Tamandua tetradactyla: one gene and its partners. The protein of the gene in region 1 purifies or fractionates together with the protein of each later gene. This does not show direct contact. Links are inferred from orthologs where the notes say so. Each region holds a gene or a part of one and is shown in the gene's direction. Other genes may lie near its edges.

Region 1 (7,887 bases):
CATCACTGTTGAGGATTGAATCATGTGCCCCATAAGGATATGTTTAGGTCTTAGTTTGCATTACTGTTTATATAAACCCATTTGTAAATAAGACTTTTAAAGATGATATTATTAATCAGTTGTGGACTCATTTGTGAATAGATCTTTGAAGATCTATTTAAGATGAAGTCAAAATTGAATCACAGTGGACCTAATCCATATGACTGGTATCCATATAAGCAGAAGAAATTAGGGCACTGTGAGACATCCAAAGTGTCATTTAAGTTAGGTCTTGCATTGTGAAGGGGGGTCCCAGACAGAAAAGGGCAACAGGGGAAGAGAAATTCTAGATAGAGGGAATGGCAGGTACTAAGAAACTAAAAAGTATGAATTGTTTTGGGATTGTCCTTAGTTGGCATTCTAGTTTGCAAGTTGCCAGAATGCAATATCCCAGAAACAGGATAGCTTTTAAAAAGGGGAATTTAACAAGTTGCAAGTTTACAGTTTCAAGACCATGAAAATGTCTAAATTAAGGCAAGGCTATAAGAATGTTCAAAGTAAGGCATCCAGGGAAAGATACTTTGGTTCAAGAAGGCTGATGATATTTGAGGTTTCTCTCTCAACTGGAAAGGCAGATGGCAATGTCTGCTAGTTTTCTCTCCAGGCTTTTCCGGGGGCATTTTCTTTCTTCATCTCCAAATGTCTCTGGCTGTGTGGGCTCTGTTGGTTCTATATCTCTAAAGCTTTTTCCAAAATGGTTCCTTCTTAAAGGGCTCCAGTAAGCAACCCCATTTTGAATCAGTGGAGACACATATCCATGGAAACCATCTAATCAAAAGTTATCAACCACAATTGGATGTGTCATACCTCCATGGAAACAATCAAAAAGACTCCACCCAGCCATAATGAATGAGGATTAAAAGATATGCTTTTCTGGGCTACACAACAGACTCAAACTGGCACAGTTGATGTGTCTGGAGTTTCTAGTGTATGGTTACAGGTGTTAAACATGCACTTGGAAAGATTTCCTTAAATACAGGAGTATTGATTAGACGCAGAAAGTTATTTACATGAAAGTGGGAAAGATGAATCAGAGATCAAATACAAAGTTACTGAAATTATTTAGAAGGAGATACTGAGGGCTTGAACAAAGACCTTGCTAAACATGAAGAAGAGGCAACTCAAAGACAGATTCAGGAGAAAGAACAGGATTTGGTAACTATTTAGACTGGGCTAGATGGATTAGCGTGGGAATGAGAGATCATGAGGAAGGTATTTCAGGCATTTGGATGTTTGGTTTTACCATTAACGGAAAAACGAATCCAAGAAGAAGAGATCTGACAGAAGATAATGGCTTTGTGTTTTGGTCACGTTGACTTTGGGATGACCACAAGTCATCCACCTTCAGACATGCAGTGAGCTAAGCATAAGAGAGAGGTATAGGCTGGAAATTATGACTCACAGTCAACAGCGAACAGTCACTGAGTGGGTTAGACAGCACCAAAAGAGTAAGCTCCAGTGGGAAAAGAGGGTCCGGGACTCTGGAGAGCAATATTTAAGGAAGGAAAAGAAAATGAGCAGTCAGAGACAGCAAGGGATGCCAGAGAAATAAATGGGGGGCAGCAGGTTATAGCCCCAATTTGCCAGACTTTAGCAAAGCTTCCCATTTAAAGACTCATCTGTAGAGTTCTAGTGATAGGTGGAATAGAATGAGGACCAGATCGAAAGAACGTTAAGTCTGGGATAACAAAGAGGAATAACTAAGATATGTACACATAGAGTGATTCAGAGACACTAACAAGTAGATTCTACCAAACGTAGTGTGCATGTAGAATTTTATTTAAATAAAGTGTGCAATAGGTGGATACTGTTTAGAAGATCATGGGCAAACCACTCATCAACAATGAACTATAGAATGATTTGAAAGATTTAATAGGCCTAAGTAATTTAGTAGATAACTTGTAGTTCAAAAATATATTTTCTATTAATAGGTCATTTTTAATGTTGTTAAATAAACGAACAGGTCACATAGCACTTTAAGTTTTCATTGTTTGGTGCTGTTTCAGATTTATGAGTTACATCTTACAGTACTACATAAAAATAGGCACTATGCTTCCAAGGAGAGCAGAATTCAGCCTGAAGCTGTACCATACTCCTCTACCTTTTCTAGTACTTTATAAATTGCAACACAGAACTTAACACAAAGAAATATGCATTTCTTTACGATAGTAACAAGTTTATATGAATAATTTTATAGCAACTAAAATTAAACTATCTGCTGCCGTTGGTAGTAGGGTTCAACTTTTACCATAAGCTAAAGCAATCGATTTCCAAACAGTCCTATTTCTAAATCATCCACTTATGTTTAACAGTTCATTTTATTGAATAATTCCAAAGCACTAAACATCTTCAGGATTGAAAACTTCAATTACAGCAAGAACTAAAATATATATATATATATAGTTTAAGGATAAGGATGATAATTAAATACTCATAAAAAGGTTTTGAGAGAGATGAGTTTGGATATGGTGAATGAAGTTTGGAGCTTATCAGTGGGTTTCAATAACTGATTAGATTTAATGACCTAAAGTTTGTTCTAGATGTGCAGGGACATAATTTTCATGGCCAGCTCTTAACACTAGATCCAACTCTTCTAATGCTGCTATCTTAGGGCAAAATCATTTACTTCTACTGTTCTAAAACTATTATATAATAAATAACAAAGCAAGTTCCTCAAGCAATCAAAACACATGTTCAGACTCTTCTCACAATGTCAAGGCTAGGCTTTTTGGATGAAAACAATAACAACAACAGTAGTAATCATAGTAATCCCTTGTATCCACATAGTTCCTCACTGTTTAAAAAGTTTCCATAGTAATTTTCTTTTCTGACCCTCTCAGTATTTATTCGTATTAGGAATCACTCTGCAAGTAATACTATGCCATTTTACAGATAAAGCAATTCAGCAATTCAAGTCACAAAGTCACACAGGCACTAGAGGTACAATTATGACAAGGTAGACATGGTCCCCCTCTACATAGAGCTCTATTCTAATGGGACATTCAGACAAGTTGTAGGCAACATGGATACTGCCAGGGAGCTGGAGGGGCTATAGGGTGCAAGAGGAGTATGTGAAGGGCACAGAGAAAAGACCAGAAGGAACTCAGGGAAGTCTTGAAGAAAGTAAAGTCTCATTTCTAGACCTTACTAGCTTGGCTCTGGGGAGTAACATTAACATCTATTAAATTAACCTATTCCGGTCTCAGAATCCACCAGTTGATTTTGGATTTGATGGAGCAAAACCTAGAAGCCAATATCATGTAATTAACTTTACCTCTAAACCAATGCTACACACACTGTGGTTTCTGTATTAATTGCATTAGTTACCTGGGGTGCTTGATAAAAATACAAGAAAGGGAGTGACTTTTTTAAATCACTTGGGGGTGGGGGTGGGAGGTGAGGCCCAGGAAAATTGCTGCTTTAAGTATGAACACCTTGGGAATTTAAAGTCTAAGCAAAATAAAAGTCAAGTTTTTCCTAGTGGCTCCAACTGGTCCCCACTTCAGTTAAGGCTTCCTTTTTGATGGGGGTGTGGAAGGGACTGTACGCTGTGGGGGAAATTGCCAATGATATCGTTAAGATAAGCGTTACACTGAAAGACTGGTCAATCTTCCCTCCTGTCCCCCCCCATTTGTATGTAATGCAACTCACTTAGAATAGGTGCTGGATAAGTGTGTGTTGATTCAATGAACACGGGGACACAGGTATTTATCACTTCCTGGAGTTCTGAAAGTCCCTTCTTTTACTCTCTGTTCCAATCTTCCAGTGACCAGCCAGCAGCAGAAGCAATCTAATTAGGCAGGGGCATCTAGAATTTGGAGAAAGACTGAGTTCAAATCTCCAGACGATCAGTTAGGACTTGAGAGGACCAAGTTCCTTAATCTGCTCACATCTAAGAAGAAGGACTTACCTCCAGCGTTGCTGGGAATCTTAAATGTGATAATAGGCATCTATTATTAATAGATGTAAATGAAATATATTATAAATGTAAACGCTTAGAACCATGACTCATTCATAAATGTCTCCTATAAATGCTTATTCAACCCCAGGCAGTGTAGTCTTCCCCTGAACGTTTGTAATAGTTCCCCCTGGGCAGTTCAATACTTCATTGAAATTGTCACCAAAAAACGGAAGGATAAATGAGAAGACCGAGACGAGCAGGTACTGGGGCGGTGGGGGGCGGGGATGGGAGCCAAAGCTCACGAAGGTGGTCGCTCCCTTCCGGCTCGCGGCACGTGGTCGAATCGCGCGGGAGCTTCGCGACTGAGGGGGAGGGGAGCGGCGCGGGACGACGCGGACCGGGTCTAGACCGCCAAGACTACGGTTGGGAAGGTATCGACTGCGCAGGCTCGGGACAGGCACAACCACTGTGCAAAGATCTGAGGGGGGGATTGTCACCAGGATCCTGCCTTTACCTATTTGCAGAGGGAAAATTTGCCTCTTTTTTCTAGTTTTGAGCCTGTACTTGGAGCCGCCTTCCGCAAGCTGTTCAATATCAGAAGGAGTTTTATCCTAAGTCTGAAGCGGCCTTTTCCTGTAGGCATGCCCCTTCCCCCCCCCGCGGTGGCCATCGTGGGCACGTCCCACCTCCCCAAGGCCTCCGTAGGTGGTTTGGTCGCCCCCTCCCCCTCCCCAGTGTCGCGAGTTGGTGCTGCAGCGGACCCCCGCTCCGCGCTCTCGGCCCCTTGGCGGGGCTGTACCGACCCCTCCCGGCATCCCCTCTTTCCTCCCTTCGGCCTGCCCTTCCCCACCGGACTGCCACCCCCGCCTTCAACCCAGCCCTTCTCTCTCCCTGCCGGCCCGCGGCGGCAGCAGCAGCAGCAGCAGCAGCCGGAGGAGGAGCCGGAGCCCGGAGGTGGCCGGGGAGCCCATGGCGTACAGTCAGGGAGGCGGCAAGAAGAAAGTCTGCTACTACTACGATGGTGAGAGGTCGGGCCGGCGGGAGGGTAGGCGGGCACGGATGAGGTCGTGGGTCGGTGGCCACCGTCGCGAGTGGGCGCTGGTGTTGGGGAGTGGGAAGGAGGAGGAACCGACGCTTGGCCGCATTTTAACCCTTTCCGGACCCGGCACCGTTGGCGAGAGCGGGTCGACGCCCCGCTTCCCTCTTGCCCCCTTTCTCTGGCTGTGCGGCCCGCCGCCCCGAGGGGCCAACCCCTGGGGCGGCGCGGCCTACCCCGGCTCGTCGATGGTGGCGAGGGGTCGGCTGTCCTCGTGGGACTGGGGGTTTGAGGTTGCCCTGCGCTGGCCTCTGCACCCGACCCCTTCCCCGGGGTCAGAATCTCACCCCGGCCCTGACTCCACACAAAGCCCCGCGGCCGCGGGAGCTCCACCCCCAGCCCCCTTCCCTCCCCCAGTCCCGCCGTCTCTTCCCTCCTTGTTCTCGGTCTCTGCCGACGTCTGGCCCGAGGGTCTCGTTTCTCCGTCTCCGGCCACTCCCGAGACCTGTCGACCCGGGTCGGGGCTTGAGAGTAGTTACTGAGGTTGTGGGCCCAAGTCCGGCCTGTGGCACTCTCCCACCCTTGTTCGGCGTGGACTCCTTCCCTCTTCTTTGTTAACGGGTTGTTTGGGCGCCACTTTCTAAGGATACGAATGAAAGAGCTGCACTTGCTCGATAAACATTAAGGTTTTCGAGTTCGAGGCAGTTAGTCTTCCCGAGAAATAAGAGGAGGTTGTAGAGAAATGTGAAGCTGTTGTTGCTTGTATGGTGCATCAGATTCGATGGGTCCTGACTTGCCTCTGAGGTGGTGGTTACCACCCACTTCTTCGTTGCTCTTTGTTCGGTCAGGAAATAGACCTTCCTTTGGAGGTATAGGAGAGCATTGCATCTTGCTTGTGAAGCCCGTTCCTAGGTGGGACTCCTGGTGCAGGAAAAGTTTGAGGAGCAGTGCGGAAGTACCAAATATCCTCATCAGGTGAACGAGCAACCTCACAGTACAGTGAATTGTAAAAGATAATTTCAGGGGTTCTTAAATTGAAGTTCGAACATTAAATTTGAATCCTATTTCCTGTGCTGGTCTAAATTATATTAAATGGAGTAGTTTCTAGTAGGTTGCTCTTGAGTGAAGGCATTGCAAAAATTAACATAGGAACTAGGAGTCTGTAACAGCTGTTTGTTCCTGGGCTCATCCATGATGAACCTTTGTTGAAGAAATGGGGCAGGCACTGGTCCCAGGGGCAGAATGCAGACTTGATAGGTAAAATGAGACTATTTGAGAGTCCTGTGGTATTTAGTGAATTAATCAATACTTTATTGTAGACCATTCAAACTTCTTTACCAGACAGCCAACAATCACGAATTTAACTTATATAATTTGGAATTCTGTTGGGTTACTTGTCTTTTGTCTGTGGTTCTTAGTTGACTCTTCATCTTTAGAATGGAATTATTTATTGCTTACATTTGAAATATTCATGGAGGGGTCACCTCCCTCTAGAGTTTATGTGTATGTGCCTAATACAATATTTTGTAGAGGTGTTTAAAAGTTGGATAAATACCATTATGTAACTGTGAAACTGTGAATATGTGATAGTATGCTGAGGTCTGCACCTTAATTCCAAAAACTTACATCTTCATTACCCCCCAAAATAACTCTTATAAGGGTAGCAAATAGCAGTTCTTTTTTTTTTTTTTTTTTTTTAATGTGGAGGAAGAGGATTAAATAAAAGTTTCTGTACCAAAGAATTATATGACTGGAGGTATACAGCATGTATTGGATTGGGGGTCAAGTAGTATCAGTACTAATAGGGCCTGAAGAAATCTCCAAGTCTAAATTTTCTGGTTCTAATTTGTTGGTAAAGGAAGTAGAAGGAAGGAAGAAAAATAAAGTGGGAAAGAGAGAACTAGCAAATTCTGTAACCATACATTTAGGCTTACTGGGGACATGGGGCAGGCTGTATGATGAAGCTCTTAGTGACAAAGAAATTACCTTTGCAGTTGTTTGCATCTCAGTGTGACTGATGCCTCTAAAATTATATGCATTTCTCACTATATTTGCGCTCTTCAGTAGAATGCTCTTTAGAATACTAGAATGCCAGTTCCAAGCGAATCATTAGGTATTGATGAAGTATCTTTAAACATTTGAAGAAAAGTAAGAGATCTTACTTCTTTTATTGTATCTATTGACACATACTTTCAAAGTTTCTGAAAACTATTTCTAAAGTCTTCGTTATTTTTCTTACATACTCTAAGATCAATAATCTTTAAAATGATATAGCTAATTACTCATTCCTCCCTAAAATTATGTGGTTTTTATAGTTAAAAATGTTGTTAGCAAATCAAGCTATGTTTGCTTTAATTACAATACACTTTTAATACTTCATCTAGAAATATTGACTATACTTGGTTTTGAATTAAGCTTGAGACCAAGCATATTTAACGTCTCTTCTATGATATATATATAATAGGGTTGCATATATACATAATTTATGTAATTTTACACATTGCTCTGCCCGATTTCCCCCACCAGCCTACTCCATCTGACAGGAGTGCATAATCAAAATGTTTGGAAAACAGTACCAAAGAAAAACACTGACCACTTTGCTCTTAGTTCCTTCGTATTTCACCTTATCAGAGAGGCTTTCTCCAGTTACCCTAGGTAAAACTCAATTAGCATTACTGCTTTATTTTTCTTCCTATAACATTTACCACCCGACTTGTTTCTCTCCCCATGTGTTTTTAAGTCTCTGTATCCCCACCATCTAAATCAGAAAGCTTAATTTTTTAATTTTGGTGAATAACTGATTAACACTTTATATTTTTACAGATTAAGCGCTTTCATATACCATTGTAATTGTTACAACCATTCTGAGTCACATAAAGGTAGGATGAGTGACATGTCTGTTTTACAAATG
Region 2 (8,028 bases), on another chromosome or scaffold:
TGCTTGCACATTATGCGCATCATCCTCTTGACTCTTGGGAATAGCTATGACATCTGGAAAAAAGTGACATAATTTTGCTTCCATGAGGGTCCGAATTTTTATCTATTCATCTCTGACTAGATTTCTTAATAAACCCAACTGCTATAAAAGTAGGTTGTGCCCAAAGAGAAGAACTGTATAAAATCCAGATAAAGTCACAGCCTGATTACCACACAGGAGAATCTTCATCTATTCAACTGACATACATACATACATACATACATACCGTACAACAAGCACCATGCTAATGGAAGATAGAGGGGTTCCTAAATTCAAGGAGATGCTCATATTCTATTAAAGGAAGAAAAAAGGTAAGACATGAGGCGAGACTTTAACCTGTAACTGTGGGCTACTTTCCCAGGGTACCACTAGGAAAAAAAAAAAAAACAGTAGTATGAATGAAGGACTCTTACATGTCCTGCTATAGCAGCCTATCGAGAATTACGGAACAAAGGTTTAAAAAGTCAGCTCAAGAGCATGGAAAGGTTTTACTATCAAGTTAAGTTTGGATTTTCTCCTCTGGAAAAAAGAAGATCTATGTTTTGGGGCAGGATAAATTATTTTAAAAGATTGATCTAATAACTATATGCCAAACATAATTAGAGAGTCTCAATTGGATGAGACTAGTATCAAAGGCACCCACTACAGGCTATTACATCAATTCAGGAACTGAGTAAGGGTACTGGTTCATTGTAACAATGGGAAAGAGAGACTTCAGATCTTATAGTACTTAATGGTTATAAACTACATAAAGAGACAGAGGTAGTTGAGGAATCTATGGATAAACTATGAGATATTCAACCTGGGATACAGCAAAAATCACATGGTACCCCGAAAGAAATGAGCAAGTCACAACTTACAAGATGATAGGACATATGAATTTATTAACGGTCTCCTTGGTAAAGTAGGTTAATAAAGTACAAACAACAATTTTCATCTCTAATAATGTTTAAGTAAAAAGACCCAACAAATTTCTGAGCTCTACTCAATTTTAGAATCTTTGAAGGTACATCTGCAGAAAGGGTATGACTTTCATATGGCATTAGGCGAAATTTGATTAACGAGTGATTACTGAGAACCAACTGATTTAATCAAGGTTGTTATTATGGGTGGGTCCCATAAGGTATTTATTAAGGTGATAAATGCAATATTTAGATAGAAATAAGATGTAGCTAAAGAGAAAATACAAGGTTTTAAACAAAGGATCTAATTAAAGGGATGAGAAACTTCTAGTTGAAGATATAGACACAATTACTCCTGCTTTTTAGTACCCTTACCTGGTACCCTTTCTCCCAAGATTGATTGATAAAGAGCAATAAAAACTTCGGCATCACAATCTTCAAGTTCATGTATCCTCAGATGTATATGACATTTTGAAAGGAGATTATTTGCAATAGTTATCCACTCTGTTGGGAAAGGAAAGGAAAAGATCAGCCTCGAGTACTAGAAAAAGTCAAATACACATACATTAAAAAAAAACCTAACAAATCCCCAGCAATACAAACACTGAATTCCTTAGAAGACATGAAATTTGTTAAAGAACTTCAAAGACCCTACTAGACGAGACTTTTGAAAAGCAATTTCTTATGATGGCTTCCAGAGAGCTGTAATTTCAATGTAATCAACACTACGATGCAAACACAACTTTCGCTGCTGCAACCTAAGACCTTAGGTTATTTATCAGTGGATTTTATTTTATAATAGGTGTTTAAGTTAACACACATTAACAAGTAAACGGGATACGGCAAAAACAAGACGGTCTGTTAACGAAAGTAATTAATGGATGTGCCTTCAAATTCCCAACAGTTCTGGACGTGTTTTTGGCTCAATTATTTTGCGCAAGTCAGGATTTCTCCGGTGCCCAAATAGTAGTGATTAATTTAGACTGTTAAAGATTGGAGTAATGATAACACCACCACTACTGCTTTGGGTTATCAGATTTAACGTATCCGAAAGAAAATATGGGCAATACATAAGAACATTCCTGTATCCACGACCTAACCTCGAACCAGCACATTACCAATACTGTAGCTCCCTGCATGCTGTACCGCTCCTCCCAGATACTGCTGGCATTAATAAAATAGCTCAAGTGTTTCTCGACCACTTAGAAGGCTTGAAACTCTTGTTGCCTGAAATGACAGGCGATTAACTGGAAAGCACTTTTACTCCTCATTAGATATATCTCTAGCATGTTCTGGAAACAAACGCGCATTATTGGGAGTGGTTTGTACGCTGTCCTGGAGAAAAGGATGAACGCGTCCTAAACAACCAAAGCAATATGCGTTTCAGAAGCCGATGCTAGACAAAGCCGTTAACTCTCTCCAGAGGGCAGTGAAGAGAAAAAACAAAACATTATTCTAGCTTTGGCGGGGCATCAACAGCACTTAAGAGTGCTATTCCTCCAAAGTTCAATTCAAATGCCTTAGTCTCCACAATGCAAGAGCGCAAAGCACACTGGCAGTGAAAAGACACTCAAGAGAAATACAGATTCGGGGAAGATCCTTTCTGACTGCTCTTTCGTAACCTGGATACGGGTGTGTTACCGGCCTCGCCACAGACCATGCCCTCCTCCACCTCAGACCGCTACTCTAAACGGTGACGGAACTAGTCTAGGAGACCCTATTCAAAGGACCGCGGACTGCCAGGGGGTGTCTAACAGTCAGGAGCTCCGCTTTTCAGCCCAGACCAAGATTCACCCCGGCCCCTGCCCTCCAGATAAAATGGACAGGGCGTTCGGGTAGTTGGGTGGCTTCAGTCCACATAAAGCAAAAGTCCTGGCCGAGACTCACCAGCCTCCGAGCCAGCCATGTCGCGGAGGAAGGGAGTCGCAGGACTTGCAGCCAAGTGCGCGGGGACAGTGTCCTGAGAGGGTCACACAGCGCACACACAGATATCGAGGGAGGGAGAACGAAAGGAAAGTGCGGAAAAGAAGAGGTGAATGAGGGAGGGACGTTAGAACGGCTTCTCGCCGCTGATTGGTCATTAGAGGAGCACTTCCTTTCGCATCACGAGCCTAGGCGGCGGTTTGCAGGATCTAGATTCCACTCTCCGTCAGCGAGGTCCAGTTGAGGGATTCTTAAGTGAGTGGAACCGACAGGCCAGATCGCCCACGGGTCTTGGCCGGTGCCCTGGGGAATTAGAACGGCATTTCCGGAAGTAGTTCGTTTTGTATCCCTCCGCTGACGCCCGTTGGAAAGTAGTGCCGTCGGCTCAGCCGGTGGGCGGGGAGCAGCCACGTGACAATATCAGACTCCGCCTTTCCGTCCATTGGTTAAGGGCGTGGAGGCTCTCTGGGGACGTAAACATCTACAAGTGGGGAGAGCGGATTGGCCTGACCTGGCCGCCTTATCTCTAGGCTGGACCTGAAAAAGGGTGGGGTGGATTGCTTAAGATATGTAAAGACGAGAAAAAGGGGAACTCAAGAGAGTGTAGGATGCGGACCCCCAGCGTTTGGTGGGCCCGGACGTGAAAGGAACGAAAAAACCGGCGGCTACAAGGAAGGGATCCCGGAGTGGGGGGGAGGGGGGAGTGGAAGGGGAAGGGTGAGAATATGGCGGATTCCGGAACGCCGCGGGCGTTGCGGCCTCTGCGCAGGGGGCGGGGCGACTAGGTCACAGAGCGGTTCCCAGTGTCCTTTGCGGTGGCGGAGGCGGTCCAGACTATAAAACCGGCTGCCGGGAGGCGGCCGGTACCTCATTCATTTCCCCCGGTGTTTGTTGTGCAGCTCTGGGTCTTGTCATCGACTTCTCTCTGCCGCCGCCGCCCCCGCAAGGCTTCGCCGTCGCGGAAGCCTACCCCAGCGATTCCCCACACCCGATTCTCTCCAGTTCGTTCCCCACCAACCGCAACCATTGACGCCATGTCGGGTTATTCGAGTGACCGAGACCGCGGCCGGGATCGAGGGTGAGTGTGGGACCGACCTGTCAGGCCCGCGGGTGGGGGAAGGGAGGACAAGGAGGGTAGCGGCCAAGGTATGCGGGGTGGAACCTTGCCCTGCCTAGCGTAACTTTGGGCCGCCCCACTCCTAACTTTGCGCACCTTTTGACATTTACCCAAATCTGATTATGAGGGATTTGCGTGTCAACAGTTCTCAGGTCCACTTTTTGAGGGGAGGAGGGGGCTCCCGGACCTCCGCCATTTTCCGCCTGTCATGAGCATTCGGGGGACTGTGTTGTGAAGGGAGGAAAGCGCGACGCTTTGAGGCGGACTAAGTATCCGCCGTCATTAGTTCAACAATTCGGGAGGTGTTTGAGGGGATCCGGAAATTCAGTGGGAGCGAGGGGGCCGTTTCCGAAGCCATCGAGGCGGTGGCGACAGGAGGGTGGCCGGCGCTGCTGGATTCAGCCATGTGGCTGTGCCGCTGGTACAAAATGCCGGCCTCGGACATGGCGGCGGCGCCTTTGTTACCCCGCCCGGCGGAGGAGCTCAAAATGGCAGCGTCGAGAAAATGTGGCGCAGAGAGAAATGCGAGACAAAGGGGGAAGCGCCGCCCCAGCGGGAACGCCGCCTGGCCGACTCCGCCCGGGCCGGGCTCCTCCCCCGGTAGTTGCCGGCTCCTCCTTCTCCTTATTCTTGGGTTATGTAATTTTCTTACCTTGATTGAGAGCTCTTCCGCGGGATGCCCCCCAACTCCGTTTGTTTGCTATGTCCCGGAGCCCCTTGTTCTGCTCTCGATGCTGTTGCGTCATCCATTCTTAAAGCCAAAGCCCGTTTGCTTGGAAACAGCTGTAGAAATAAGGCTCCTCTTCTATCGTTTATCTCCGAAATGGAGATTTCGTTTTTAAGGTTGTGGGAAAGATTTTAACCACAAGCTGTTGTCTATCCTAGATTGCTATCTTAGTAATCTGTATTTGTGGAATTTGAGCATCCAATTTCCGATTTTATTCATAAATTATGGTTTGCTTACTGTTCCTGGCTTTAATGAGGTGTACAGGGGACGACAAGAAATAAGATTTAGGGTTAACTAACTGACTGTTGAGTGACTATCATTAAGGGCAGTAATGGGTTTTGTATGACACACAGGTGCTTTGAATAAAGTTGAATAATCCTTAGTGTGTGCCATGGAATGGTAAACTTGCATAAAAATACAAATGTTTGATTACAAACTTTTTCTTTTCAGGTTTGGTGCGCCTCGATTTGGAGGAAGTAGGGCAGGGCCCCTATCTGGAAAAAAGTTTGGAAACCCTGGGGAGAAACTAGTTAAAAAGAAGTGGAATCTTGATGAGCTGCCAAAATTTGAGAAGAATTTTTATCAAGAACACCCTGATTTGGCTAGGCGCACAGCGGTGAGTGATTTCATTTGGCTTCGTTATTAGGATATAATTCTGACTTACAATAAGTCAGAATCTGACACAAGTGTCTTGCAAATCTAGGGAGATTCATACTTTCTGGCTTCCAGCTTAGGAAAGAGGTGTGAACCATTTCTGGGAACAGGTTGCTTTGAATTTTCTAGTTAGAATGGTTATTTGATAAAATATGTATTCTTGTGCTTTGTAGGTTTTCATGTGGATCTAGGTTGAAAATCAAGGCCACTAAAAGTAGTTTATAAATTTAGGGGCTTACAGTTATATATTTAGGGGAGAGGTTATGCTGAGTCTTACTCGAGTACACTAATTACGTGTCTTTCAGCAAGAGGTAGAGGCATACAGAAGAAGCAAGGAAGTTACAGTCAGAGGTCACAACTGCCCAAAACCAGTTCTGAACTTTTATGAAGCAAACTTCCCTGGTAAGTGTTAGTTTTGAATTTGTCATCTTTACTTTCTCTTGGTGTAACATTTTTACTAAATTTGCTACCTTTGGTTACAGCAAATGTCATGGATGTGATTGCAAGACAGAACTTTACTGAGCCCACTGCTATTCAAGCTCAGGGATGGCCAGTTGCTCTAAGTGGATTGGATATGGTTGGAGTAGCACAGACTGGATCTGGGAAAACACTGTCTGTAAGTTTGGGAACACTTTGGAGTGTTCTCTAAAATATGCTAGATAAAGTGGATTCAGAATAAAAGGGGGAACAAAGAATATTTAAATGTAACTGTTTTTCTTCATCCTCCTCCCACATAGTATTTGCTTCCTGCCATTGTCCACATCAATCATCAGCCATTCCTGGAGAGAGGTGATGGGCCTATTGTAAGTATATAGTCCATTAATTTGGTTAGAAATGTAACTGAGTTGCAAAGATAGGATAATTTCTGTGGTTTTATATGTAGAGAGAATAGTAATCTCACAATTGTCACATTTTGGGAAATTGCACATTTGGAAGAAAGAAATCATGTCTGCTAGTGTAAGGCTTATAAATTAGCAGTTTAAGACTAGGGATCTAGGTCTTATGCTGAAAGCTGTTTCTTTCCTTAGTGCTTGGTGCTGGCACCAACTCGAGAACTGGCCCAACAAGTGCAGCAAGTAGCTGCTGAATACTGTAGAGCGTGTCGCTTAAAGTCTACTTGCATCTATGGCGGTGCTCCCAAGGGACCACAAATACGTGATTTGGAGAGAGGTATGTAATAGAAAAGCTTGTTGTTACTGGTGCTAAAAGTTACGTGTTTGGTGGTTACATTTTATGTTTCACTGAAGGTGTGGAAATCTGTATTGCAACACCTGGAAGACTGATCGACTTTTTAGAATGTGGGAAAACCAATCTGAGAAGAACCACCTACCTTGTCCTTGATGAAGCAGATAGGATGCTTGATATGGGCTTCGAACCCCAAATAAGGAAGATAGTGGATCAGATAAGAGTAAGTGTTTTTTTTTTTAATTCACCTAAGAACATATAAAAACAAACATTTTTAACATAACGAACATTTCATACTTGGTGTACAAATCAGTGGCTCACAGTATCATCACATAGTTGTGTATTCATCACCATGATAATTTCTTTAGAACATTTGCATCACTCCAGAAAAAGAAAAAACTCACATACCATACCTCTTACTCCTCCCTCTCATTGACATTTCTATCTATTCATTTTAACATTTGTTCCCCCCTATTTATTTTTTCATACGTTTTTTACTCATTTGTTCATACTGTAGATAAAAGGAACATCAAAGGTTTTCACAATCACATAGTCATTTGAAAAGCTATATCATTATAAGTGTTGTTAAATATGTTATCATTTCAAATTTAACTTTTTGAAAAAGTTACGATACTAATTTTTTTAACCCACATTTGTTAAGCCTGATAGGCAAACCCTAATGTGGAGTGCGACTTGGCCAAAAGAAGTAAGACAGCTTGCTGAAGATTTCCTAAAAGACTATATCCATATAAACATTGGTGCACTAGAACTGAGTGCAAACCACAATATTCTTCAGATTGTGGATGTGTGTCATGATGTAGAAAAGGATGAAAAGTAAGTTTTTCATAAGTCTTAATTGACTTTAAAAACAATTTTCTACGTAATTGAGGACTGGTTCATATATCTTTTTTTATAATGTATTTCAAAAAAGAACGAAAACAATCTTGTTATGGTCTTAAAAGTGATTTTCAGTTGGGTGGAACCTGAATATGCTTAAAACTAGTCTGTCAGTTCTTTTGGAATTGCTTTGCAGCTTTCAAATAATTTTTCACTATAGCATTTTTATAGGAAAATGAATTCCTACCCTGTGGTCTGCTTAAGGGACCAGGGATGGAATTTTGCTTGATGGTTAAGCGATCAGACAGCTATTTTCTCTTTGACTTGTAACCATATAAATTGAATTTAATGCTTCACTAGCCATAAATTTGGGGGCTGTAACTGAACTTTTACAATTTACATTTTTCCTTTTGTTCCCAGGCTTATTCGTCTAATGGAAGAGATCATGAGTGAAAAGGAGAATAAAACCATTGTTTTTGTTGAAACCAAAAGAAGATGCGATGAGCTTACCAGAAAAATGAGGAGAGATGGGTATGTAGGCTTTCTCCGGTGAAGCTGATATATTTGAGTTGAGTTTAGGAAAGAGTCAAAAATGAGAAGTAATAAATTAGTTTTCATGGATGGGGATCTCTTGTATATACATT
Region 3 (7,825 bases), on another chromosome or scaffold:
TTAAATCCAGGGTATGGGGGAAAACTGCTATTGCATTCTATGAGCTATGTTCAAAAGGAAACCATCAGCACTACCACAGCAACAGCAGAGGTAAATAATGGGGTGAGAGACAAGAGTTAAGAAGAGGTTTAGATTCCCTATTTGGGGAGGGTGTGTTTATTGGTTTTAGGTCTCTTCGCAACAAAGAAATCATCTAAAATTGAAAATGCTGATGGACTGTGGACTTTGGGCCCTCTACGTGATGCCTGATGAATGCAGGTGGCTGAAGGATGCACTGACATAGAAATAGATTGGTGAACTATATACACTTATGAAAGCGTATATACTTCAAACTATACTTATGAAAGAAGGTTGTGCTGCTACGAAAAGGAACAATGTCGTGAGGCATGCAACAAAGTGAATGAACATGTGGGACATTTGGTGATACAAAATAAGCCAGAAACAAAAAAACAACAATGGTATGGTCTCCTTGAGAAAATGCTCATAAGAAAACAGGGGCCTAGATTGTAAGCTTTTAGAACAGACACATTAAGTCCAGAGTGGTGATTATTATTTCTGGACTTTGAGAGGCTGTTTTATATATATATAACCTGATATTTAAGATAAGAACAAAGCTGAACAGGTTGGGGTTAAAGCAATTCAGAATATAGGGGTAAGGAAGACAGTGTTTATATTTTAGAACCACAGATATTCTTTGAGATCAACAGAAGGTTTATTTGATTTGGAACTGAAATTTTCTGTAGCGCAAATCTAATTCAACCTATCTGTATAGCTCATTTGAACAACTGAAAGACAGGAAGCACAGAATAAGAAAGAGTTCCTTTAATCCTGTATAGATTACTGTAAGGCCTGGAAACATCCTAGAATTAAAAAGTATTGGCAAAGTCCCCTGAGGGAAGGGAGAAAGACTATGGAACTATTAAACCTTACCATCAGGGAATCCCCTGATACTATGTCAAACTTTACGGACACCCATATCAATAGGCCATGCCCTCAATCATGGGGCTTGCTATTGTGAAGCTTATGTAGGTAGCATAAAAGCTTAGACTACCTACAGGCATGCCTAAGAGTTACTTCTGGAGGACATCTGTTGTTGCTCAGATGTGGTCTCAGTCTCTCTAAGCCCAACTCTGCAAGTGAAATCATTGCCCACCCCCTACATGGGACATGACATCCAGGGGGGAAAGTCTCCCTGGTGACGTAGGAAAGGACTCCCAAGGATGAATCCAGACTTGGCACCGTGGGATCAATAATTACATCCTGAGCAAAAGGGGGAAAAGAAGTGTAATTAATAAAGTATCAGTGGAAGAGAAAGTTCAAATAGAGTTGAGAGGCTACTCTGGAGGTTGCACTTAAACAAGCTTCAGGTAGACCTTGCTACCTAGCATAACCTGCCAACCCCCAACCAGGACCATTCCAGCCAATCCTAAAGAACACCTACAGCAATATATAAGATTCCACAAGGGTTCCAGACAGTAGAGTACCTTTCCAGAACCCTATGACCTCCAGATAGGTCTCTAGTCCAGATAAGTCCTGAAACCTAGCCCAGCCTCTCCAGAACATCAGATAGCTCCATCTCCCTACCCCATATTAGTGACAGACCCTTTCAATATGAAAAATTAAGAATTGCCATAGCCCAAACAACCCCAAAGAGAGGTATGGAAAGATCAAAGGTGATGGTAGAATTATACATAGAAGATAGGACTTAACAAATGAATATGAATGCTGAATCATTAAATTGATATCCCTTTTAGTCTCCAGTATTTTAGAGCAGCTAGAAGTAAAAACCTAAAATTGTGAAATTGTAAACCATGTCAAACTCTGAAATATGTTCTACAACTAATTGTGGTGCTGTGCTTTGAAATTTATAACTTTTTTGTATATTTGTTATTGCTCACAAAAAAAAGGAAGAAAATTGATTGTGATGATAAAAAAGTATTCAAGCCCTCTAGCCGTCTATGTTTTGGAACAGCTAGAAGGAAAAATTGAGAGATCGTATTTTAGCCCATGACAAACTCTGGGGTCTGTCCTATAACTACTTGTTGAAGAGTGCTTTGAAAACTACTGCATTTTTATTTCTTTGCTTTGTATATGTTATACTATACAATAAAAAAAGTTAAAAAAAAGATGCAAGATCCATTTACATACAGTAAACTTTACATTCTTTATCATAAAAGGAATGTGTTTTGTAAGACTGTGGTGAACATTTTTTGTAGCACCAAAAGGATAAAAGTAGCTCTGCTTTCTTAAACTAGTAATTAATTTAGCTTCATTTATTTTTCTATGAATCTTTAACTCACTGGACACAGATTACATCAACTCTGTACTATGATTGAGTAGATTAGCAGTCAAAGTTAAAAATGCCTATACAAAATATTCTTTACAAGTTAAACAAAAACAATCTGTCAGATTTAGTGCAAGCCCTAAGTGTATTTCTCAGACATAGCTAAATGGGATCTAGACCCCACTATAGATTGAATTACCCAAGTTGTGCTACCAAGAAAACATTTTTCCTAGTGTAAAGAAGGAGGCTGGCTGTTAAGAGACACTTTCTTCCCAATTCTGAGCCAGGTCAGTTTCTGGTCATGCTATGCAGGTCTCTGTTTAATGGCTCTGTTCATAGCACGTGCTGTGCTATCACAGTTCTAAAGTTAATCACTTGCACTTAATTTCAAGTCATTTTTTATGTTGGAAACTGTAAACGCCTCGTTGGGGACAGTACATACAACGCGTGCCAACCCTCTGGTTTCAAAGTTCAGCTGTTTTTGAGTTATTTGACTGGACGAAAGGTCATAAGATATCTTTTGCAGCAGGGAAAGTGTAATTTTCCATGTCTTTATGGTGTTTTTGAAATTGTTGAAGTGATTTTTCTCTAAAAATTTCCATAAATAAATAATTTTACTGGTGGTGGAAATTTAATTTTGAGATGCTTGGCAAAAATTTTTAAAGTAACCTCCTCTCCCCCCACAAAATAGTCTCCAGACCCATCCTCAGTATGAGCCCTGTGGTCAGTTGGGGAAACTGAAGGAGACCCCACAGTTAAAATTCAGAACTTTCAGATTTGGACTACAAGTATGGAAAGTTTTCTCTCAATTTCTGAGATTACAATAAAAATCCTCAACTCTCAATTTAGTATTGAGTAATAATACTAAATCTCAATTTAGTATCAGATATGTAACAGCATCCAGTTGGGAGAATAGATCTAGTCTCTGAGCTCACCCTTCTCTCTACAAAATTATGTAATGCACTACAGGAATTTGATTGTGTTTCACCTCACCTCTACACACACCTTACCGCAGATTTTACTTTTCCACAACTCTCTGGCTTTCTTTGCCACATATATGGATATGTCTGGCCTCCCACCTTAGGAGGACTATGTATGTCTTCCAAATTTGCCAGGGCAACCCAGCATGCAACCTTCACTTCTTGCAGGACCAACCTCTGTGGACCAACCACCAAGGACACACCAGTGCCTGTTTGTGTGTGTCCTTTACTCAAAGCTGTGAAGTGTGGACCCTCCAGGTGTTAGACTTACCTCCCCCAAGGAAGAAGAGCATGTAGCCATACGACAAGAGTGGGAGCAGGTACACCTGTTGCTTTTATCCCTGACTTTTCCTCCCTCTTCCACTGATCCACCTGCTCACAGGACTAGTCCCCTCGTTTGACCCTAAACAAATGTTTGGCCTTTTTGTGGGGAAGAGGGAAGTAGAGGTGTCAATTCAGCACCTTTCATATGCTAGCCTGCCCTTCAACGGGCTATCAAGTGCGTACCTCTGGGTCATCTCCTGGATTATCTGGTAATTAACAACCCCTAGGACTGTTCTTTCTTCGGATGCAGAGCTTTTATTTTATTTGCATCTTCTTTGGAATTGTGCAAGTATGTTCATCATCATTTTTCTGCCCAGTTGATCTTCTGTACTGTTAACTACCTTCCAGAATGTTTGGCAAATGAGCACTTCCACCTTCCACTCCACAACCCTGCTGCATCCCTAATTCCTGGTGGTCCTCCTCTTCTCTTCAGGGAAACCGCAAAAATGCCTGGTCCCTGTCCTTTCATTCTTGACTGATCCTGCGGTCCAGCAGTCCCTTCTCCCATTTCCAAAGCTTCCCCCCGTGCATCAGTCTCCTCCACCGATCTCGCCTCTCCTTACTTAGGGTAGTCTGTCGAGTTGTCCCCTCCGCCGCCGTTCAAGTCTCCAGCCCGTCCACCCCACACCCTGGCCGGTCCCAAGTGTCTGTGGGTCAATTTCCAGTTACACCCGCCCGGCTCTTCGGCCTCGAGTGGCTGGACGTGGGTCCGTCCCGCACCCGTCCGTCTCCCACTTTCCTCCAATTCGGACACTGGTGGCCGGAACTTTCCTCCAGTCGGGTGGGTAAGGGCGGTGAGTGCGGAGCCGGGGAGGCGGCCGGCGGGCGCCAGGGGCTGCGCGGCGAGGGGTCCGGCGCGGTGGGCGCGTGAGCCCGCCGGGGGTGTCGCGGGCCGCCCTGCCCTATAAGGGGCCGAGCCGCCTCCGCCGCCGGGCGGGTGCCGGGCGGACCGCGGCGGCGGCTGCGATTGGCTCAGGCGCCCCATCCGGGGACTGGGCTCAGCGCTGCTCGTTCGCCCTAAAGGTACCAATATGGCGGAGGTGAGCAGGGAAACCGGGCAGGAGCGGCCGGGCTGGAGCGGGCGTCCGGCGGCCCCCGGCGGCTCCCCGCGACCCCAGAGCCGATCCGAGGGTTCTGGTGCGCTACCCGCAGCCTCACGGGGGCCGGCTGAGTGGGGCGGGAGCTACGGGGCGGGGGCGGGCCGCGGCGGGGCCGGCCGGGGGGCGGGAGCGGGCGCGGGAGCGGTCTCCCTCCGGGACTAGGCCGCGGCAGCTCCAGCCCCGGCCAGACTAAGCGACGGGGCCGAGTGGGGGGCACGGACGGCGGCAGCGAGCCCTGGCCCGGGGACGGCGCCATACCGGCTCCCAGGCCGCTGACGCGGGCCGCCGGCACCTCCGCGCTGCCTCCCGGGTCCAGGGTGGGTGGAAACCGACGGAGCCCGGCTCCCTCTTTCCCGGGCCGATTGCAAAGCCGGGAGCTGGCTGCGTCTTGTCCCCGCGGGAAGAGTGCGCTGCGCCCCCGGCCCGCCGGGCCCGGGTTGCGGCGTGAAGGGCCCTCACGCTCCACTTTGCTTCGGGCGCGGAGGCAAGCGGGATGCGCGGCCGCCCTGCTCTGCGGGAGGTGAGCGGGACACCCCGCCCCGCAGCCAGGGAGGTGCAAGAGCCCCCGGGAGTGAGGGGGACAAACCGAGACTCTTTTGCCTTCTCCCGGAGGACGGGTCGGTAGCCCCACTTTCCTTCGAGCTGGAAGGGGAGGCAGGAGAGAAGCTGCCCCGGCCATCTCCCGTGGGACAAGTGAGATGGGGGAGGGGGTGGCGCAGCAGAAGCCCCTTAGTGGGCGCCGGCCCGGCCGAGGGGCGCGCCGGCGGGCCCGGCAAGGGGCTGCACGCCCTGGGGGAAAAACAGTTTGCCAGGGACCTTGGGGCTGCATCTCTGGACTCGGGGAGAGAATGAGGGGCGCGCGCTTTGGTTTGGGGGCCAATGTCGGTCTGCTAAGCCTTACTGCGCTTTGGGGCAGAAGACAGTCCCGGAGTTAGGGGTCCCGGGCCCCAGGGGGCGAACTCAGTGCTCGGAGGGCGAGTCCCTTTAAGGGAAGGGTTTTGCGTTGTGTGGAGTTGGTTTGGGGTGCTGGGAGCCTGGTGGGATTTTGGGGACTCCCCAGATGCCAAGGTGAGAGACCGATGCTGCGATCCGACGGCGCTAGGTTTTGCTTCTTTACTTTGTAACTTCCTGTGCTCCAAAAGGAGGCTTGGAGTTGCTTGTTAGACTCTAGCCTTGGTCCCGGGTCTGCGAGTTTGTACGCTGGGGACTCGGGGAGGAAGGCGAGGCAGCCAAGAGGGGGCCCGAAAGGGGCCGGGAGCATTTGGAGTGAAGCTACGTCTTGCACTTTTGGCAGCTGCGGAGGAGCGCCGGGCTCCGCCTTCTTTGAGCCCTGTTGCCGGCATTGCTTCTTCCCGGGCTGCGCGATCTAACCGCACGTTTTCTTCTCTTTCCTAGGCTTCTTTTGGAAGTTCGAGCCCAGGTTTGTTCTATTTTCTTACCTCTTTGGTGGGTCCCAGCAGGAACCCTCTATATTGGGGGCTCAAAGATTTGTCGTTAAAGGTTTCTCCACAAAAATTTATCCCGCGATTTGTTTTTAAGAGTTTGACTGTGCATTTAGTAGTTAAGTTATTCGAGGAACGAGCAGTTTTATTGTTCTTTTTTTTCCTTGCATGTTTGAAAAATACCTCGTTACAAAGCAGGTAACAAATAACTGCCCTGTTAAATTATGTCTTTAATTCTCACGTATCTTTTTCTCCAAGCCTGAAACAGTTAATCCCCAATCAACTTTCCATTAACTTGAGCAGTTTAGTTTAGATTTTAATTTTGATTTCTTAGAGAGACTGACTCTTTAATAATCAAGAGATGGAAACTTTTAATAGATTAACCACAATTCCCCTTTCCCCTTTATTGCGTCTCTTTTTAAACAGCCAATTGAGAGTTAAGTAAAGCTACCTTATTCAAAAGAAACAGAACTTTCAAGTTTGCACAGAAAAGTGATGATACGGTTTTTGAACTGAGAGTCTTAGATCATCTACAACAGTGTTTGTTTCTTAGTCTTTTGGAAGTCACGGACCCCTGTCAGAATCTGATGAAAGCAAGGGATTCACTCCCCAGAACACTCTACATGTGCATAATTGTGCACATTTGAGGCTTGTTGAACCCCCTGAAGTTGGTCCATAGTAAAGACCTTTCTGCGTGTGGTAAGGACAGCTTTGTTCTAGTTTCTTATACCTGTCCAGTCTCCATTTTGACTGCCTCTTTTCTTTCTCATAATCTGCAGGAAAAAGTATTTCTGAAGTAGTTTAACTCCCTTATTTTATTGTCTAGGAGACAGACTTTTAAATGACTCTGCTGAGAATCCCCCAGTTAATGGCAGAGCCTGGACTATCTCCCAAGTCTTCCATTACAATACGGTGCCTTCCATTTCCCTGGAATACTGCTTTTTGTGTTTAGTAGGCTTTCAAGGCCTCACTTGATTATTATTTAAAGTATTATAAAATAATTAACACCAAGTTGAAGAAATTTGTGGCTATTATAAAAATAGCTATGTCTTTTTGTTTTTTTAATTGTTTTTAAAGTTTCTCTAATTTTGAGATAAACATTTCTTTGTCATTACTGATTTCAGGAAAAGAATATTTATCTAACCATTGCCAAACATCTGGATGATAATGGAATTTTTCCATTTTGCATCATTTTCTGCTGTTAAGTTGTGATCTAAATAAAAAGAAAGAAAAAAGGCAATGCGGTTTTGGTATCTAAACCAAGCTTTATAACCTGTTTTTAATCAATTAGCTGATTTTTTAAAGCATTTTAGAGCTAGAAGGGACTCTTGAGGGTCATTTAAATTAACCCTCTGTATTTTACAATTGAAGAACTGGACCTAGTCCCAGAAAGTTTAAATGACTTACACTGGTCCCACAGACAGTCAGGGACAAAACCAGTAGCCCTCAGGCCCTCCAATTTCTGCCCCTTATTGAATATCTTCCATATGAAGGGGGTGGCCTGCTGTGCCAAGTGATATGAGGATAACAAAAAAATATAACACAGATTGTCCCCAAGTTGGTGGAAAGTCACCGTCTGTTTTGTTACAGACACTTTAACATGCCACAAAGGTTTCCAGTAATTCCTAAAAAAAAAAAAAGTAATTTGTAATGATACATGGTCTGCTTTGAAGTATTTAATAAATAAATAATTTT
Region 4 (7,534 bases), on another chromosome or scaffold:
CTTAAATTAGGACATTTTCTTGGCCTTAGAATTGTAAACTAGCAACTTATTAAATTCCCCTTTTTAAAGCCCGTCCCATTCTGGTGTATTGCATTCCAGCAGCTTGCAAACTAGAACACTTTATAGTCTGAAGTGATGCAAATGTTTTAAAAACGATCAAGGTGATGAATACACAACTATGTGATTATATTGTGAGCCATTGATTGTACGCCATGTATGGACTGTACATTTGTGAATATTTGTCAATAAAAATACTTAAAAACTAGTGATTCAGCAATCATAACTCATTTGTTAAATCCTCTATTCTGTTACACCTCCTCCTTCTTTTCTGATTCTTCTCCCAATCTATAGGGATCTTTGGACAAGACCCGTTTTAACTTTTTCATGTTCAGAAAGGGGTCGACACTAAAAATAGGGGACTCTAATTAATTGGTTATCTTGGACCGGCTAGTCCCTCTGGGTTTCAGGATTTATCTGACCTAAGAACCCTCCTGGAGTTATAGGTTCCAGGAAAGCAAACTTAGTGCATGAAACTTTTATAGAGTCTCAGTCTGAGCGTAGTTGTTTTTAAGAGTCAACAGGAGTGATGTTGGTTGGGGGTTAGCAAACCATGGCAATTAGCACTATGTAACTAAAGCTTGCATAAGAGCAACCTCCAGAATAGCATCTTGACTCCATTTGATCTCTCTTGGCTACATGTTTCTTTTATAAAGATAATAGTTACCAACATTATTGAGAACCTGCTATATGTCAGGCAAAGGTCACATCTCACTTAATCTCAATAGCATCCCTATGAGTTATTATTTTTTTACTCTTTAACTTTTAGTTTTGAAGTTATTTCAAACTTACAAGACAGATGCGAAATTAACACAAAACCCACACAGAGAACTCCAACACCTAGATACTCAGATCCACCAATTTTCAACATTTCTTCTACATTTGCTGTATCACTCAGCATATCAGTCCATTTATCTACCCATTTATCTATTTTTTAAACCTTTGAAAGCAGGTTGTATATATCAGCTCCTTGAACACTTAATACTCCCACATATATTGCCTAAGAATAAGGAGATTCACTTATGTAACCACCTTAAGTACAATGATCAATTTCAAGGAATTTGACATTGAGATAAAACTTATAAGTATATTCCAATTTTTTCATATGTCTCAGTAATGTCCTTTTGGGCCTTTACTCCTCCATTATTAGACCTCATTCAGGATTATTTACTTGTCATTGTTTCCTTAGTTGTTTTTTTGTACCTGTATGGTAGCATATATACCACATAAACTTTCCCATCTCAACCACTCCCAAGCATACTATTCAGTGGGATTAATCACATTCATAATGTTGCACTCCCTTCATACCATCCATTTCCAGAATTTTCCCATCGCCCCAAACAGAAATCCCTCGCCCATCAGGTATCAACTCCCTATTCCCCCTCTCCCCACCCCGCCCCTGGTAACCTGTACTCTACTTTCGGTCTCTATGAATTTGCAAGTTTTGTTAGCTATTTCATATGCGTGGAATCATCCAATATCTGTCCATTTGTGTCTGACTTATTTCACTTGACATGATGCCTTCAAAGTTCTTCCATGTTTTTGCATGCATCAGAACTTCATTCCTATTTTAAGGCTAATACTCCATTGTATGTATATACCATATTTTGCTTATTCATTCATCTGTTGATGGACATTTGGATTGCTTCTACCTTTTGGCTATTGTGACTCGTGCTGCTATGAACATTGGTGTACAAATATCTGTCTGAATTCCTGCTTTCTGTTCTTTCAAGTAAATTTCCAGAAGTGGGACTGTCGGGTCATATGGTAGCCGTATGCTTAAGTTTTTGAGGAATTGCCAAGGTGTTTTCCACTGGTGCTGCACCATTGTACATTCCCACTAACAATGAACCAATACATCCTCGTCAGCACTTTATTACTTTCCACTTAAAAAAAAAAAATAGTCCCTTTATGGATATGAGGCCTATGGGTATTATTATCCCCACTTTATGTTTGTGGACAACTAACATTCAGAATAGTCCCATAAGTACTGAATCACAGAATCAGTATTTGGACCCTTATCTTTCTGACTGAAAAAGGAAGTCTCTTTCTATTATGCACACTGGCTCCTTAGAAAACAAATTATTGAAAGCCTATCATGTGCCTGGCACATTATTTCTAATCCTTCCAAACTTCCTTCCTACTTTACCCTGCAAAGTAGGTATTAATATCCTCATTTTAAAATGTTAATATTTCTCCTGATTATAAGAGCAATATGTGTTAGTAGACAAATTTAGAAAATAAAGAGAAGCAATGCAAGAAACTATTTTTTAAACTCATATATATTCCAACCACACATAATTACTCTAAAAATGTTGATGTATTTCTTTCCAGTCATTTCGTATGCATACGTGGTAAAAATAGATTTTTTTCTATAAAATTAGGATATTTTAACTCCTTTTTGACATTTAATATTCTATGAGTATTTTTGCATGTAATTGGTTTTTCAAAATGTGGTTGTTAATGATGACATACATTGCATGACAGTAACTAAATTGATTTAACCTAGTGCCTATTATTGGACACTTAAGACTGTTTCCTCACCTCTGTTTAAGGATGAGAAAAGTAAACCCCAGTGACTTGACAAGTCACTTGTCCCAAGTTATCTGGCTAGAAAGCAGGCTGAGTTGAGATTAGAATTTTGGTCTAGCTGACTCTAGAACTCAAGCACTTTATACACCACACCAGCTCTAGAAATAATAATACACCATTAACTGCCCTTCCATTTTCTCCTCTCAACTTGAAAGCTAGTGACAAAGCACTCTCCACAACCAGAACAGCAAAGGATCCAAGCATGAGGAACACAGATAATACAAAAGAACTAGGTGGCCCAACTGAGATGGAACAAACTGAAAAACAACAGGGAGGCACAAGGACATAGAAATAAGCAGAAGGTGGGAGATGGGTACACAGAACACTGATTGAGATAAGGAGAAAGCTGCAGTTGTGAAATTTAAAAGGAAAAAAAAAGCTTTTGCTTTTGTCTTTATATGTATATAGGAAAGAGCAAAGATAACCTCAAGGCCATGTGAGGAACTGGGAGGGATAAGGTTTCTGGAAAAGCGGATGAGTAAAGGGAGGATAAAACTTGGGAGGACTATAAGGCTAGGAGAGGCTTAGGGTGGGAAGGAGAAAAGTCCCGAGGGCAAAGAGTCAGGCTACAGTATTCAATACCAGCCACCAAGCCTACAAGTTCTGTGGCTGAACTCCCTTCCAGCAGGAGCCTCCTCCAATATCTCAGCTATTAAATACCCCTTAAGAGCTGGGGAGGAAAGGTGAGAAGCAGGGATTGTAAAGTGCTCTAACTATAATGAGGACTGAGAAAGGATCCTTGCACACTTGTTTAAAGCCCTGGCCTAAGGCTAGTGCCCCCTCCCCCCATCCCACCTCTCTAGCCTCAACCTCAGCCACACCCACATGTTAAGGACCATCCAGGAGGGGGGAGCGTGTGTGTGTGAGTGCGTGTGTATTTACACGCATGCAAGCTCGTGCATAGAAGAGACAGAGACGGAGACAAAAAGAGACCGGGGAGAGAGAGAGAGAAAGAGCGCGCGCGAGGAAGAGAGAGAGCAAAAAGAGACAGACAAGGACAGAAAGAGAGAGGGAGAAAGAGTGGAAGCAAAAGACAGACAGACGGGAGACAGAAAGGGAGGGAGGAGGGCTATCGGCCCTGGTGAGAAAAACTATTCCAGAGATAATGCAGGGAGCTCTTGTAGGAGGACTCAGGAAGAAGATCCTAGAACTTACCCTAAGACCGCTGAGGGAGTGTGTGTGTGTGTGTGTAGGGGGGGGTGTCTTTGCAGGGCCTGGATTTGGGGGGCATCAGCAATAATGGTCACTGCATAGGCGTTGACACTGAGCCAGAGCCATTTAACCCGCCCGGGGTGGCTGGAGACCAAGCTTAAGACGCCTCAAAACTACGACCCTTCGACTGGTTAGGGGGGCCCGAGGCTGTAGACAAGGGGAGGAGGGGCACGTGAAGGCTGGGTCCCTGCCTCCCTCCACCCTCTGCTGTCACTCATTACCCCAACAGTCGCCCCGGGGGCAGGCCCCGGAGAGGTGGGGATGGGGGGAGGGTAAGCTTGGCAGGCGCCTGCTGCATGGCGTAGGTAGTGACTGTTGAGGGGGGGCGGATGCCGGAGGGTTGAACACGAGTGGGAAGAGAAGAGAGACACGGGGAGGGGGAGGGGACCGGGAACCATTTGAATGAGAGGAGGGGATCACGGGTAGAGTGGGCTCCAGGAGGTAGGGCGGGCACGGGTGTGACGGGGGCCAGACTCTTGGGCCAGGTAAGGGAAGCAGGTGCGTAGATCTGTGTTTTCTGTGGGTTAGTGTACTCGGCCCCTTGGTGAAAAGGGGGCGACGCCTTTCCCGGGGGCGGGCTTCAAAGCTCCAGAGGCTATCTTTTCCTGCTCAACTAACGGGGCCCCGGGCGGGGGCTCAAGCTCCATCTCCAACGACCAAACTCCACTCCGCAATTTCCAGGCGGCCACTGGGCTGGGAGTCTCGCGCCGGGGGCCGGCGCTGTCTCGCGAGCCCCCTCCTCGAGCCAGCCAATGGGGTTGGTTGCTGGCGCCGCCCGCCCGCCTGGTGCAGAGCGCTGGGCGCTGTGAGCGGCGCTGCCATTTAAAGGGGCCGCGACCCCTGTCCCGGCTGCTAGGGAGGGAGGTGGAGAAGGAGCGCGGGGCCATCGCTGTCTGCAGTTCTAGGCTTGTAGCGGTTACACTAACCCTGCCGCAGGTAGGGGTCGGGCCTGATCCAGCCGAACCGAACCTGCAGGCGGGAGCTCGCAGTAGCCGGGAGGGGGGTCTAAGGAGAGATCGTAGCTCCAAAATGTCTTCCTGTAAATGCCTGAGGTGGGGGGTGGGCAACAGGAGAAGGGAGGACTGGGGGAGCAATAGGAAAAGGGGACGGGGTTGAGGAAGTGGGCGACCCTGAAAGGTAATTGGGGGGGAGGGGTTAGGAAGGGCAGTTTGTGGGGGCGGGGGAAGGGCCAAGGGAGGACCATGCTACGCGGGGAGGGGGGGTGGGGCTAGACAGGGTGGGTAAAGACTGGGGAGCTGGGGGGGCTTTAAGGGGAATGGGAAGGAAATAGAAACTGAGATCGCGGGGGCGGGAAAGCCTCCGGGTGGCGAAGGCCCTAGGAGACTCTTAAGGCCGAGTTGGGGGGGGGGGTTGAAAGGTAAGGGGGGAGGGGAAGTGGGAGTTGCAGTCGGGGGTGGGGGTTGCAATCGGGCGGTTGAATGACCCACTGGCTTATTGAGTGTGGGCACAGGGCCAGGGCGGGGAACGCCTCTCCCCACAGGGGGCGCTGTATGGGGAGGGGGGGAGTGGTCTTTTGGACTAAAGCCTGTGGAAATGCTTTTTGGTTGTGGTGATGGGGGCTGTTCATGTGAAATCCAAGTGGATGTTGGGGTGTGTCTCAGAGCCTCCATGAGAAGGAATTCTGGCTAAGACCACCTCTACTTGCCTTCTGTTGTACCCCTGATCTCCAGCCCATATCCGGCCTTCCTCATGGACCCCAGTGATTTCCCCAGTCCATTTGACCCATTGACCCTGCCAGAGAAACCCCTGGCTGGAGACCTTCCAGTGGACATGGAATTTGGAGAAGATCTGCTGGAATCCCAGACTGCCCCGACTCGAGGATGGGTCCCCCCTGGCCCTTCTCCATCCTCTGGAGCCCTGGACCTGCTTGATACCCCTGCTGGTCTGGAAAAAGACCCTGGAGTCCTAGGTGGAGCCACTGAGCTGCTGGGGCTGGGGGGGCTGCTCTATAAAGCCCCCTCACCCCCAGAAGTGGACCATGGTCCTGAGGGGACCCTTGCGTGGGATGCAGGGGATCAGACCCTAGAGCCTGGACCAGGGGGCCAGACCCCTGAGGTGGTGCCACCTGACCCAGGGACTGGGGCAAACCCCTCTTCTCCCCAGGGGCTACTAGAGCCTTTGGCCCCAGATTCTCCAATAACCCTGCAGTCTCCCCATATTGAAGAGGAGGAGACCAGTTCCATTACTACAGGGAGAAGGGATCCCCCTGGGCAGGAGGAGGAGCTTCCCCGAGGGCAGCCACAGAGCCCCAATGGCCCCCCCAGTCCTTCAGTGGGAGAGACTCTGGGGGATGGAATCAACGGTTCTCAGACCAAACCTAGGGGCCCCAGCCCCCCTGCACACCCTTCCTTGCCAGGTAGGTTGCCTAATCAGATGATGAATTGAGGCTGGGCAGAGAGGGTGGGTGTAAGGAGGAGTGGCTCTGTGTTTGGGGGAAGAAGCAGGAGAGGAGGAGAATGGAGAGGGAAGAGTAGAGGTGTGGGAGGGGGTAAGAAGGCGGAGGTTTGGGAGGGAGGAGTGGGGATGTGGTGAAGAAGAGGAAGGAAAGTAGGGGTGAGGGGAAGCACAGGGGGTGTGGAGGGAGGGATAGGGGTGAGGTATCAGGGTGGTGGGTTGGGGGGAGTGGTTTTGATGGGAGATGTTCCCTTTTATTATTACTCAAATGGGCTTTTGGTGCCAGGATCCATCCCTCAGGATTTAGGGAAGAAAATAGGCTTCTTGGTTCTAAGATCTCTGCAACTGTTTTATTCTAAATGGGAGTGGGGTTTCTGGGTTTGATGAATGACAACTAGATTCTGGAGCCACCAAGAGCATAAAGATTTCAGGAGAATGGTAGAAATGTAGAGTGTGTCTCTGATGTGGGAGGGGCAGCCTGAACGTGAGAAGCTCCAGTTCCTCCCCTGTTTGGCCTAGTCCTGTTCCTCTCCCAGGCTGTGTGTGCCCAGGGTCCTAGGGCTTTTATATAACCAACCACCTGAGGCCAGAGGAACCTACCCATACATTTGTACTTCCTTTCCCCCTTGCTGCTGTTGGGTGGTTGCATTTGTCTTTGTTGGTAAAACAAATTCTGGATGAAAGGTGTGTTATCTGTGTTTCCTTAACTCCCAATGATTGAGGACAGAAAAGCTGATGGGAAGGGTAGGGGTGCTTTTTGTTTTCATAGAGAGTAGCTGCGCCCTGCCCCCTTAGTACAGAGCCCAAGGTAACCAGGGGAGGGGCCCCAAGAAGCCACAGACACTCGAGTTTTCCCTTTCAGTTTTGAGTAAGTTCTTTCCCTGAATTGGGAGGTGGGGGTTGGGGCAGGGTGGGGTGGGCAAGGGCAGGCTCAAGATTTAGGCTACCTTCTGCTTCCTTTGCAGGAGATGGCCTGACTGGGAAGGCGAGTGAGAAGCCGCCTGAGAGGGTGAGGGGGTGGGGGAGGGGAGGGGAAGGAGTCTGGTTATCCCTATAGCTCTGGGAAGGACAGGCCCTTCATTTTCCCTCCCAGATGTTGTTTTGTGGAGGGTGTGTGTGAGTGGAGTGAAGAGGAGGGTGGGAGCTGTTGTATCTCCTGCTTCTTCAGGAGAAAATCCAGCCTCCTTTTCTTTCTTCCTCTCAAGGGCTGGGCCAAGGGTCCCTACTCCCCCTTCCCCCTCCCATCTCCATACCTTGC

What was found.
Region 2: the proteins of HDAC2 (region 1) and DDX5 purify together in Homo sapiens (affinity purification with western blotting; 3 studies listed by BioGRID, with this or other methods). This does not show direct contact. The link is inferred for Tamandua tetradactyla from reciprocal best matches to the Homo sapiens genes HDAC2 and DDX5.
Region 3: the proteins of HDAC2 (region 1) and MIER3 purify together in Homo sapiens (affinity purification with mass spectrometry; 3 studies listed by BioGRID and IntAct, with this or other methods). This does not show direct contact. The link is inferred for Tamandua tetradactyla from reciprocal best matches to the Homo sapiens genes HDAC2 and MIER3.
Region 4: the proteins of HDAC2 (region 1) and ZMYM3 purify together in Homo sapiens (affinity purification with mass spectrometry; 6 studies listed by BioGRID and IntAct, with this or other methods). This does not show direct contact. The link is inferred for Tamandua tetradactyla from reciprocal best matches to the Homo sapiens genes HDAC2 and ZMYM3.

The regions. Positions count from the first base shown.
Region 1 is NC_135331.1:172,998,206-173,006,092, reverse strand, and holds the start of HDAC2 (histone deacetylase 2), read left to right. Parts: upstream 1-4,657; 5' UTR 4,658-4,909; coding exon 4,910-4,961; intron 4,962-7,887. UniProt on the Homo sapiens protein: Histone deacetylase that catalyzes the deacetylation of lysine residues on the N-terminal part of the core histones (H2A, H2B, H3 and H4).
Region 2 is NC_135332.1:5,711,565-5,719,592, reverse strand, and holds the start of DDX5 (putative ATP-dependent RNA helicase DDX5), read left to right. Parts: upstream 1-4,633; 5' UTR 4,634-4,657; coding exon 4,658-4,824; intron 4,825-5,158; coding exon 5,159-5,324; intron 5,325-5,667; coding exon 5,668-5,764; intron 5,765-5,844; coding exon 5,845-5,978; intron 5,979-6,099; coding exon 6,100-6,165; intron 6,166-6,390; coding exon 6,391-6,532; intron 6,533-6,609; coding exon 6,610-6,770; intron 6,771-7,208; coding exon 7,209-7,381; intron 7,382-7,804; coding exon 7,805-7,915; intron 7,916-8,028. Other genes in the region: CEP95 (centrosomal protein of 95 kDa), read right to left, coding at 1-53, 1,317-1,445, 2,829-2,847. UniProt on the Homo sapiens protein: Involved in the alternative regulation of pre-mRNA splicing; its RNA helicase activity is necessary for increasing tau exon 10 inclusion and occurs in a RBM4-dependent manner. Binds to the tau pre-mRNA in the stem-loop region downstream of exon 10.
Region 3 is NC_135335.1:103,570,316-103,578,140, reverse strand, and holds the start of MIER3 (mesoderm induction early response protein 3), read left to right. Parts: upstream 1-4,604; 5' UTR 4,605-4,619; coding exon 4,620-4,628; intron 4,629-4,705; exon of another isoform or gene 4,706-4,725; intron 4,726-6,081; exon of another isoform or gene 6,082-6,083; coding exon 6,084-6,108; intron 6,109-6,556; exon of another isoform or gene 6,557-6,829; intron 6,830-7,825.
Region 4 is NC_135353.1:100,364,626-100,372,159, forward strand, and holds the start of ZMYM3 (zinc finger MYM-type protein 3), read left to right. Parts: upstream 1-4,271; 5' UTR 4,272-4,346; intron 4,347-4,657; exon of another isoform or gene 4,658-4,797; intron 4,798-5,552; 5' UTR 5,553-5,571; coding exon 5,572-6,238; intron 6,239-7,241; coding exon 7,242-7,285; intron 7,286-7,534. UniProt on the Homo sapiens protein: Plays a role in the regulation of cell morphology and cytoskeletal organization.